Linked DNA regions of Oryctolagus cuniculus. Each later gene encodes a partner of the first gene's protein in a complex. Links are inferred from orthologs where the notes say so. Each region holds a gene or a part of one and is shown on either strand. Other genes may lie near its edges.

The links.
Region 2: ARPC2 (region 1) and ARPC5 share a complex: the UniProt entries of both Homo sapiens proteins name them as parts of the arp2/3 complex. The link is inferred for Oryctolagus cuniculus from reciprocal best matches to the Homo sapiens genes ARPC2 and ARPC5.

Annotation. Positions count from the first base shown.
Region 1 is NC_091434.1:21,132,508-21,137,098, reverse strand, and holds the start of ARPC2 (actin-related protein 2/3 complex subunit 2), read left to right. Parts: upstream 1-1,688; 5' UTR 1,689-1,871; intron 1,872-2,088; 5' UTR 2,089-2,096; coding exon 2,097-2,170; intron 2,171-2,177; exon of another isoform or gene 2,178-3,519; intron 3,520-3,633; exon of another isoform or gene 3,634-4,416; intron 4,417-4,591. UniProt on the Homo sapiens protein: Actin-binding component of the Arp2/3 complex, a multiprotein complex that mediates actin polymerization upon stimulation by nucleation-promoting factor (NPF).
Region 2 is NC_091444.1:1,522,936-1,527,376, reverse strand, and holds the start of ARPC5 (actin-related protein 2/3 complex subunit 5), read left to right. Parts: upstream 1-1,628; 5' UTR 1,629-1,729; coding exon 1,730-1,872; intron 1,873-2,823; coding exon 2,824-2,905; intron 2,906-4,441. UniProt on the Homo sapiens protein: Component of the Arp2/3 complex, a multiprotein complex that mediates actin polymerization upon stimulation by nucleation-promoting factor (NPF).

The DNA.
Region 1 (4,591 bases):
GTCCCTACCGCTGGCGTGGGAGACCCAGGCCCTCGGATTCCACCTGACCCAGTTCTGCCTTGTGCAGGCGTTTGGGGAGTAAACCTGCAGATGGACGATCCCTCTCTCTTTTTCTCTCTCAATTAAAGTGAAAATAAATTTTTAAAAAAGAGTTGCGAATATTGCTTCTGAAGAGTGGGTGAGAATTATTTTTCCATTACAAACTTTATAGTATTGTAGGTATACATATGAGGGGTCTTCCCAAAGCTTATGGATATGCCATGCATGGATTTTAATATTTTTGCACAAAAATAAATTTATTTTTTAATTTCACTTTTCCATGAATTTTTTGGAGTCCCCTCATATTTTTAAACTATTTGTATGAATTATTTTAGCTCAACAGAACTTAATGTTGAAACAGCAGCATATAGACGGAGGATGGCATCTACAGTACCCTGAAGTTTATCCAAGGCCTGTACGTAAAAAAAATCTATTTTTAGAGACCAGCATTGTGGTATAGTGAGAAGAGGGTAAAGCCACAGTTTGAGACACCAGTATCCCATACGGGCACTGGTTCAAGTCCCATCTGCTCCGCTGTCCATCCAGCTCCCTGCTAATGTTCCTGGGGAAAAAGCAGAAGATGGCCCAAGTCCTTGGACCCCTGCACCCTCGTGGGAGACCCAGATGAAGCTCCTGGCACCTGGCTTCAGCCTGGCCCAGCCCTCGCTGTTGTGGCCATTTGGGGAGTGAACAAGCAGATGGAAAATCTCTCTCTCTCAAACTGTCTTTCAAATTAATAAACAAATCTGTAAAAAGAAATCTATTTTTAAAAGCTGTCTACCCCTTGACGATAAAGGCTGGATCTTTGCTCATTTTTTGGATCCAGTCCCGTCCCTACCCCACCCCACTCACCCCACCCCGCACCAGCACATAACTGAAAAAAACCATTGATGTAGAAGGGACTCAACTAAGCTTGTTACACTTCCTCTGGAGGAGGACAAATGCAAATCAAGGCACACAGGCAGAAGGTGCAGACGTGGTGTAAGGATCAGTTCAGATTCCGCAGGCAGATGAGTAGGAGCTATGTCTCCCGCGGGGGCACTGAAAGGTGAGGGTTGGAGGCAGAGAAAATTATGTTCTGCGCATCCAGGGGCAGCCCCTGGCACGGAAATGGAGGCAGCACAGGGGTCCAGGGAGGCCCATCTGAACTGCCTGTTAACCGAGGTGACTATGCATCCCTTTCCTTCGGTGCCTTTAAACAACATAACTGATCATTTGTTCATTGTGTTTCCTTTACCACAGTATAAGCTCCACGAGGGCAGGACCCTGTCTACCGTGTTCACTTCCGCATTCGCGGCTCAGGACAAGAGCCCACCATCTGTTGGGGAAATGAACGCACGATGGTGCGACGGACTGCCACCCGTCTGGAATGAGGAGGAGCCTCCACGACGCACAGGCCGACAGCAAAGAATCCTGCCGCGAGATAAGAGCGAGCTTCTTGCAGGACCCCTGACATGACAGAACCGGAAGAGTGGATTTGGAACTCTGGGACAAGCGGGAGGCAAGTTCCGGGAAGGACCGCTCGGTGGCTCGCGGAGACTTGATGGGGCGGGGGTGGGGCGCTTCAGTGGGAAAGTAAAGCGGTAGGAGGCCTTGCGCATGCGCAAGTGTGACCGCCTCGCCCCACCCCGGGCGCGCCTGCGTGCGCGTGCACGAGGGAGCCGGAGCGGAAATGGCGCCGCGGGGCCGCGCGTCCGGGCGGCGAGCGGAAGTGGGTGTGAGAGCGGAAGTGGCCGGCTAGAGCCGGGGGCTGGGCGGGGACCGGGCTTGTCGGTGAGGCGGCAGCGGTGGCGGCGGCGGCTCGGCAGGCGGGTTGAGGCTTCTGGGGCCAGGTCTGTCGGGTGGGTGGGTGTCTCCACAGTCCGTGCGTGCGCGGGCCGGCGCGCGTCCTCCCCTTCTCTCCACCCCGGCCCCTCTCCCCTCTCCCCTTCTCCCGTCACCTACCCCACCCAGCCCCCCTTCTCAGGGGGCACAGGGCCGCTCCCTGCGTCCTTTCCTCCTTTACCCACCCTGACCCGCCCTTGTTTCTCCTTCCCCTGTCCGGGGCAGCCGCCGCCATGATCCTGCTGGAGGTGAACAACCGCATCATCGAGGAGACGCTCGCTCTCAAGTTCGAGAACGCGGCCGCCGGGTGAGCGCGCGCCCCGGGGCTGGGGTTTGGGGCGGCGTGGAAGGCAGAGTTGACCCCCGCTAGTCCCCGGTGCTGTCCAGCTTCCCCCCCGGGCCTGGCGGAGGGAGTTGGGAGGCCTGGCAGTGTGTAGGGGCTGCCCCGGCGGAGAGACGTGGGAGGCGATTGGGCGCGGCGGGTGAGGGGCAGGGATGCGTGGGGTGAGGCTCGGAGGAGGGATGCGGAAGCTGCGAGTGGACCGGAGTGTGCGTGCCGAGGGCCAGGGGACCTGTGGGACGTGAGGGCAGCTCGGGCCGGAACTGGAGCCCGAGGAGCCCACTGCCCTCCGTGTCCCCGTCATTGTTCTGAACCCGGAGAGAGCCGGTTTGCGACTGGGCTGGAAGGAGTTTTCAGGAATTCCCAGGACTGGAGGAGGGAAGAAGATGCAAGCCTAGATCGCCACCGGCGTTCTCCATCCCGCCCCCACCCCTAAAGGGAGCCCGAGGGGGGACGGAAAGCAGACCCAGCCTTGCAGCCATCTCCCTAGCTTCCCTTCCCGAACCCTCCTGCGAGCGACAGGGGCCGTTCTGTTACACATGTCTCAAGCACAGCTAATAGTCCTGCACCCACACCCTTTCCTTATCTCTTCCAAGAGTGTCGGGCTCTCTCTGCAGCCTGCACCCCGCACACCCCGCAGCCTTTATCTGCCTGTTGGCCTTTTAAATTCTCATACAAGACCCCTGGGCTGTGATTTCTTCTGTGGCAATCCTTGGCCGGTTACACACTTCACTGCTTCCAGAATCTATGAAGTTCTTAGATAACCTCTTTTTTACCGTTGTCTGTGAAAGACGGGCTTTGATTTCCAAGGCAGCCTTCACTGTCAGAGAGCAGAATCAGTGGAAGACGATCAGCCGCCTCCCCCAGAGCACCTTTAAAACATGAGCCAAGGACTTGAATTCTAGCTTCGAATTTTTGGTGGCCTGTGGTCAGTCCCTTTGCCTCATTTCCGCATCCGGGACGATGGGGCTTCACATCTTGGTTGCACAGTTGAGGAAATAAGTACAAACTCTTTTTGGTGAACTGGGAACCAGTAATAGGAAAGTAAATGCTTGGAGAGCCACAGATGGGACAGGATTGGTGGAAGGGAAATTTAAGTGGTCATAATGAACTTGTGACTTGGGAGGTTTTTTGTTTGTTTGTTTTTTGTTTTTTTTTTTGTTTGTTTTTTGAGTACTGGCTCACTGCTTAAATTGAATGGATTGTGGTTCCCATCTCTTTTTTGTAAGAACACGAACTACTTTCCTTGGAAGCAGTGCATACAGTGAGCTGAACGGTTTCCTGCCAGGGCCTGCCTGCAGTTGCTGATATTTCAGGTTAACTCAGTTCTTACTCTCAGCCCCTCTTACCAGTTCTTTGCATTTTAAATACTCAAGTGACTCAGTCCGGGATCTCATTTTGGGTGATTGCTCTGTGCTTTTTCTGAGCAGTGCACTGCACATAGGAGGAAGTTGACTTCACTTCTGCATTTTCACAACTGATCTCAATGCATTCTCAAGTCCAGACTGGCCAGGAATGAGACCTGGGTGGTTATGAGCTGATCTGCAAGATAAATGGCTGTGTGTCTGCAAGTAGAAACATGCCTTTTAGTGTAAGAGTACTTTCACATCTATTTGTGTATTAATAACCTGTGATTCCAAAATGTGTGGCCCATTCAGAACTTCAGTTCTTTCTTATAATTATTTTCAAAATAGCAGTTAATCATTTCAGAGGGATTAAAATGGCCCTCAATTTGGAAGGCATAGATTAGAGCTTGCAGGACTTTTTTAATAGACAGACATTGGTGGTGAGGTTGTATGGGGGCAAGGGTTGGGGTTGGCTTTTATTCCAGCCCATCTCCCCTTTGAGATCTGGCTTTCAATACAAGAGCCCAGACCATTCTGTGGAAAGTTTCGTTGAATCTTTTGAAAAGAGGCCGAGATACTCTGTGATACTCATGCCTAGGAGGTCGGGCATTCCTGGGGTTGCAAGTACAACGCCAGCAGAACACGGTGCAGCAGAGTGTGTTCCCAGGCACCCGTAAGAGGAGGCAGCAACGAAGCTGTGTTTGTCAGGGTGCTGCCCACGAGCTCAGCCCAGGGTGGCGGGGGCGACCATCATGAACACATGGGATTCTACCAGCGCTCAGCACCAGGCAGCAACTGATGCGGCGGGAGGTCTTTCTAAGAGAGCACATTAGCAACAGAGCTAAGAGGTGCAGACATTAAAGAAAGGTAATAGCTTGGAGGAGAGCCGTGGGGGATTTAAAAGGCTTTGCCATTGTGGGAACCTGCTGAAAGAGGTCTGTTCCACCTGTTTTTTATGCTTCTCAGAAGAAACCAGTTGGGGAAGTTGCAGCCGGGAGAAGGCTTGTCTATAGTTCGTCTTCCAACCCTGCCACATCCCGTG
Region 2 (4,441 bases), on another chromosome or scaffold:
CCCTGGAGGGCGCGTGTCCAACATCTCAGGGGAGGCGCTTGGCTGAGAACTGGTGAGAACTGGTGAGAACTGGTAAGAACTGGTAACGCTCGACCCATTCCAGAGCGCAGTGCTGAGCCCACGATCGGCAAACAATTCCAGAGGCCGCCCTACATCCCCCCGGCTGCTCCTCAGGCCGACGTGCACCCAACACGGCCCCAGTCTCCAAGGATTACCTAAGCGAGACCCCCTGGAGGGACAGGCGCGCAGGACGCGGGAGGCCCCGGCTCCGCCATCTTCCCTGCCATTTCCACCCGGCAGCGCCTCCCAGGTTCAGTTTCCTCTTGCGGAAAATCTTGATGAAAAAGAAAAAAGTACAGTCAGCTTGGGCATCTGAAGAAGCACTGCCTATGCCTGCGCTAAAGTCAGCAGGAAACACCAAAATACACCGTTCTTACATAACGCCAGTCGCCGCAGCAACAAGGCCAGCAGGTGGCCCGCAGTGCCCACTGTGTCACCTGGGTAGCCGGTGACAGCCCTGGGGGGAAAAGGCCAGCTGGCCGACTCCTCACTCAAACGCCACCCCCCTCCCATTCCCCAGCTTTCTTGCGCGCAGAACTTGGCCAAGTCCGTGGGAATAGGAAAACACTGATTTTACTGCAAGGAGGCTTTGAAGCCCACGCGCGGGTCTCCTGTCACACGCAGCCTCCGTGAGCTGTGTGCGGGACTCTGGCTAGGCGTGGATCTCAGGCTACTGCCCCGCACCGCTGCCCAGGAGCTCTGCGAGGGGCCGAGAGTACCCGCGTAGGTCTCCCCCGGCCTCTGCGCCCCTCTCTCTCCCCGCGCTGCCCGCCGCACCACGCACGCGCTGGGCACCTTCTGCGTGCGGGCTCCGCGTGGGGGGGGGGGGGGCGCGAGGCCGGCGTCACGGGTAACACGCGTTTTCCACACGCGTGGCGCGTCTGCTCCAGGAGGCATCGGGTAATGAGTGGGAGGGCCCGGCCGCGAGACGGGAGGCGCACACGCAGGGCGCGCTCCGCCCTCCGAGGTCCCGAAACGCGCCCCAAAAACACGAGTGGCGGGGCCGGGTCCCCTCAGCGCCGGGAGCCCACGCGCCCCCGCCCCGAACGCCCGCACCGCGAGCCCCGCAGGCTCACCCCCGGCTCTGCCGCCCAGCCCGGCCCCTGCCCCGCCGCCGACCGACGGAGGCCGAGTGGGTCGGGGTCCGCTCGCGGGGCGGCCGCGCGTGCGGCTCAGTCCGGGGACCCCGCGGGCCGCGCGGCGACTGCAGCCCGGGGAGCGGCCCCGGCGGCGTCCGGGAGGCGCGGGAGGATGCGGGCGCCCGGACACGCATCCCTCCGCCCCTCGGTCCTGCCGACAAGAGGGCCGCAGCGCGCCCGGCCCTCACGCGGGGCCGCGGAGACAGCTGACTGGAAAGCCCCGGCTACCCCGCCGCCGCCCACCTGAGACCCGTTAGGCTGGACCGCAGGCCCGCGTTTCTAAGGGAACCCGCGTCACGTGACGCGCGCGAGCGCCCAATCGCGTCTCGCCACCGCCCGCCGCGCCCCGCCCCGCGGCGGAGAGTCGCGCCTGCGCGCCGAGGGGGCGGGCGCCGGCCTCGCGCATGCGCGGAGCCCCCGAGCCGCGCGGCCGGCCACGCCCCGGGGCGGAAGCGGGAAGTGAGTCGGCAGCGGCGGCTCGCAGCGGTCGGGGGGGCGCCGCGGAGGCTCGAGGGCGGCGGGCGGCGGCGATGTCGAAGAACACGGTGTCGTCGGCGCGGTTCCGGAAGGTGGACGTGGATGAGTACGACGAGAACAAGTTCGTGGACGAGGAAGACGGCGGCGACGGCCAGGCGGGGCCGGACGAGGGCGAGGTGGACTCGTGCCTGCGGCAATATCCTTGCGGCGGGGGTGTGCGTGGGTGTGCGTGGAGCCCCGGGAGTGCGCGGAGCCGGCAGGCGGACGCCGAGCCCCCGGGAGTGCGTGGAGTCTCTGGGAGTGCGCGGAGCCCCGGGAGTAGGTGGAGCCCCGGGAGTGCGTGGAGCCCCGGGAGTGCGGGCCGGGCGTTCGCGGGAAGCCGCTGTCCGGCGGTGCCTGCTGCCCTGGGCGTGTCTGAGCAGCTGTGACCGGGTCCGCGTTTGCACCGGATCCGTGGGGGACACGGGGGCGCTGGCAGGAGCCGCCGCGGCGCCCGCGTGCTCGGGCTGTCCGCGCCCCGCGGCGGTGCGTGGGGACCGCTCGGGCCCGCGTCCTGCCGTGGCGGCCGTGTGAGGGCCTGGGGCTGTGCAGCCTGGACCCCGCGGCGCCGTGGGCCCGCTGGGTGGGCCCCGGAAGCCAGAGGCCGGCTGCAGCGATGGCGAGGGAGGGGCGGCGGCCGGGGCTTCTCCTTTTAGGGGAATGGCTGTGCCTGCCGCCGGCCTGATTGGCCCGCTTCCTTGCCTGCTCCCTGCTCCCTGGCGCCTTCGCGGACTGCTAGGTGTGGCCTCCAGGAAATGGAGCCGTCCACCGTCCACCCGAGAGCCGGGGCGTCGCCGCGCAGCGAGGCCGAGGTGTGTCTTTGTGCGCCCACGTAGCGCCGCGGGAGATGGCGGCTTCCCGGAGACCTGAGGGCGTGGGATCCTGACGTGCGTTTCGGGTCTCGGCACCTCTGCAGTCTGCCGAAGGTGTCCCGTGAGGGCAGCGTTACCAGGCGATCTCTGATGGTGCGAACCAAAAATAGCCCCCCAGTGCGCTGTTACCTTTGGTCGGCACCCCGAGGGCGTTTCTGAGTCCCGAGAAGCACCGGTCCCAGGGGCTGGCCGCTGCCCTCGGCTGCCCCCGGCTGCCCCCGCTGTTGCCCCTTAACCGCCAGCACAGGGAACATGACAGCCGCCCTGCAGGCGGCGCTGAAGAACCCTCCCATCAACACCAGGAGCCAGGCGGTGAAGGTGAGTGCCACCCACCCGGCCACACAACCGGCCGGCCAGCTGGGGACCGTCCGACACAGGAGGGCTCAGGGCGCGCTTTGATGGGGCTGGAAACGGCGGCCAGCCCAGCAGCCCGCTGCTCCACTTCCGTCCAGCCCCCTGCTGAGGGCCCAGCGCAGAGGGTGGCCCCAGGGCTTGGGCCCCTGCTCCCACACGGGAGACCAGGGAGAAGCTCCGGCTTCAGATGGGTCCAGCTGCGGCTCTTGCCGCCATTCGGGGAGGGAGCCAGCGGGTGGAAGATCTCTCTCCCTCTCTCCCTGCCTTTCAAACAAATAGACCTTTTTAAAAAAAGAAAAAGAAGATTTAAGAAAACAGCACCCTGGCCGACTTCGGAGAACGCGTGTTCTGGACGCGGGAAGTTCTGCGTGGGGGGGGGGAACCATTCCTGTGGCGTTCAGAGGGCCCTCGGGCTGGATCTAGGCAAAGGCTTTGAGACAAAAAACTGGCACAAAAACGAACAGGTTCCATAGGCCAGGCGCGGCACTTAGCTGTCAACGTCCAGGCCCTGGCTCCTGCTGACGGTCACCCTAGGAGGCCGCTGATGGCCACAGCGCCTGGCTTTGTCCCACCCCAGTGCCAGCAGATGGGACTTCTCTCTGTGCCCCTCTCTCCGTCTCTCTCTTGCTTAGTTATATGAATATTCAGCAGAAGCCAGGCAGTGGTAAAAGTGACTACCTTCTGGGGCTACCCTATGTTCATAGGATTTTTCTGTGAGTGTTTTTTCGAGGAGAAGCTTTATAGCTTCGCTCCTCTGTGTAGCGATGGACGTGAGTGTTTTCCTTAGCAGCAGGTTTGTTTCTGTAGCGTTGACCAGCTCTGCGCTGCAGAACCTACGCACCTAGTCTCCTCTTGTCACATACCTGGATGGAGTGGCTCTTCCCTGGTGAAGTTCCCAGCTGAGCACATTCTCGTGGCTGATCCTTGGAATGGACTCCAGAGTGAATTGCTGGCTGCAGCCGTGTCCCTTTGCGTCTTCCGTCCCCTGCAGCCGTGTTTCACTAAATAAGAACCGGTCTCTCGGGTGCTTAGTGGTTAGAACCAAGTCCAGCGCATCACCCCCAGGGCGGTGGCTACTCAGAGCCTCAGGAGTCTCCCTAATTAAATGAAAGTTGGCAGGAACAGGTAGATGCATGTGAATTGTCGAGGCGACGGTTTTTTTAAGGGGAAGCGTTGCTTTGGGTTTAGAAGTTGCCGGGAGCATTACTGAAATTTCCGTTTCGACACCTTCTGCTTTCGTGTGGGTGGTTTCATCACGGCCTGGGGGCGGCAGCTTGTAGCTGATGAAGATGGCTGTGTGAGTGGGGCAGCTGCACGGGCCGAGCTGCAGGGAGCAGTAGGCGGGAGAAACGTCCTGTAAGAACCCGGACGCGAGGCGGCCCCAGGGGCCGCTTTGTGTGACAGGGGAGGCGGGCGCTCCTTAGGAGTCCCTGTGTGTGACGGGAGGAGGTGACCTTAGATGTGCTGTGTGTGACAGGGGAGGTGACCTTAGATGTGCTG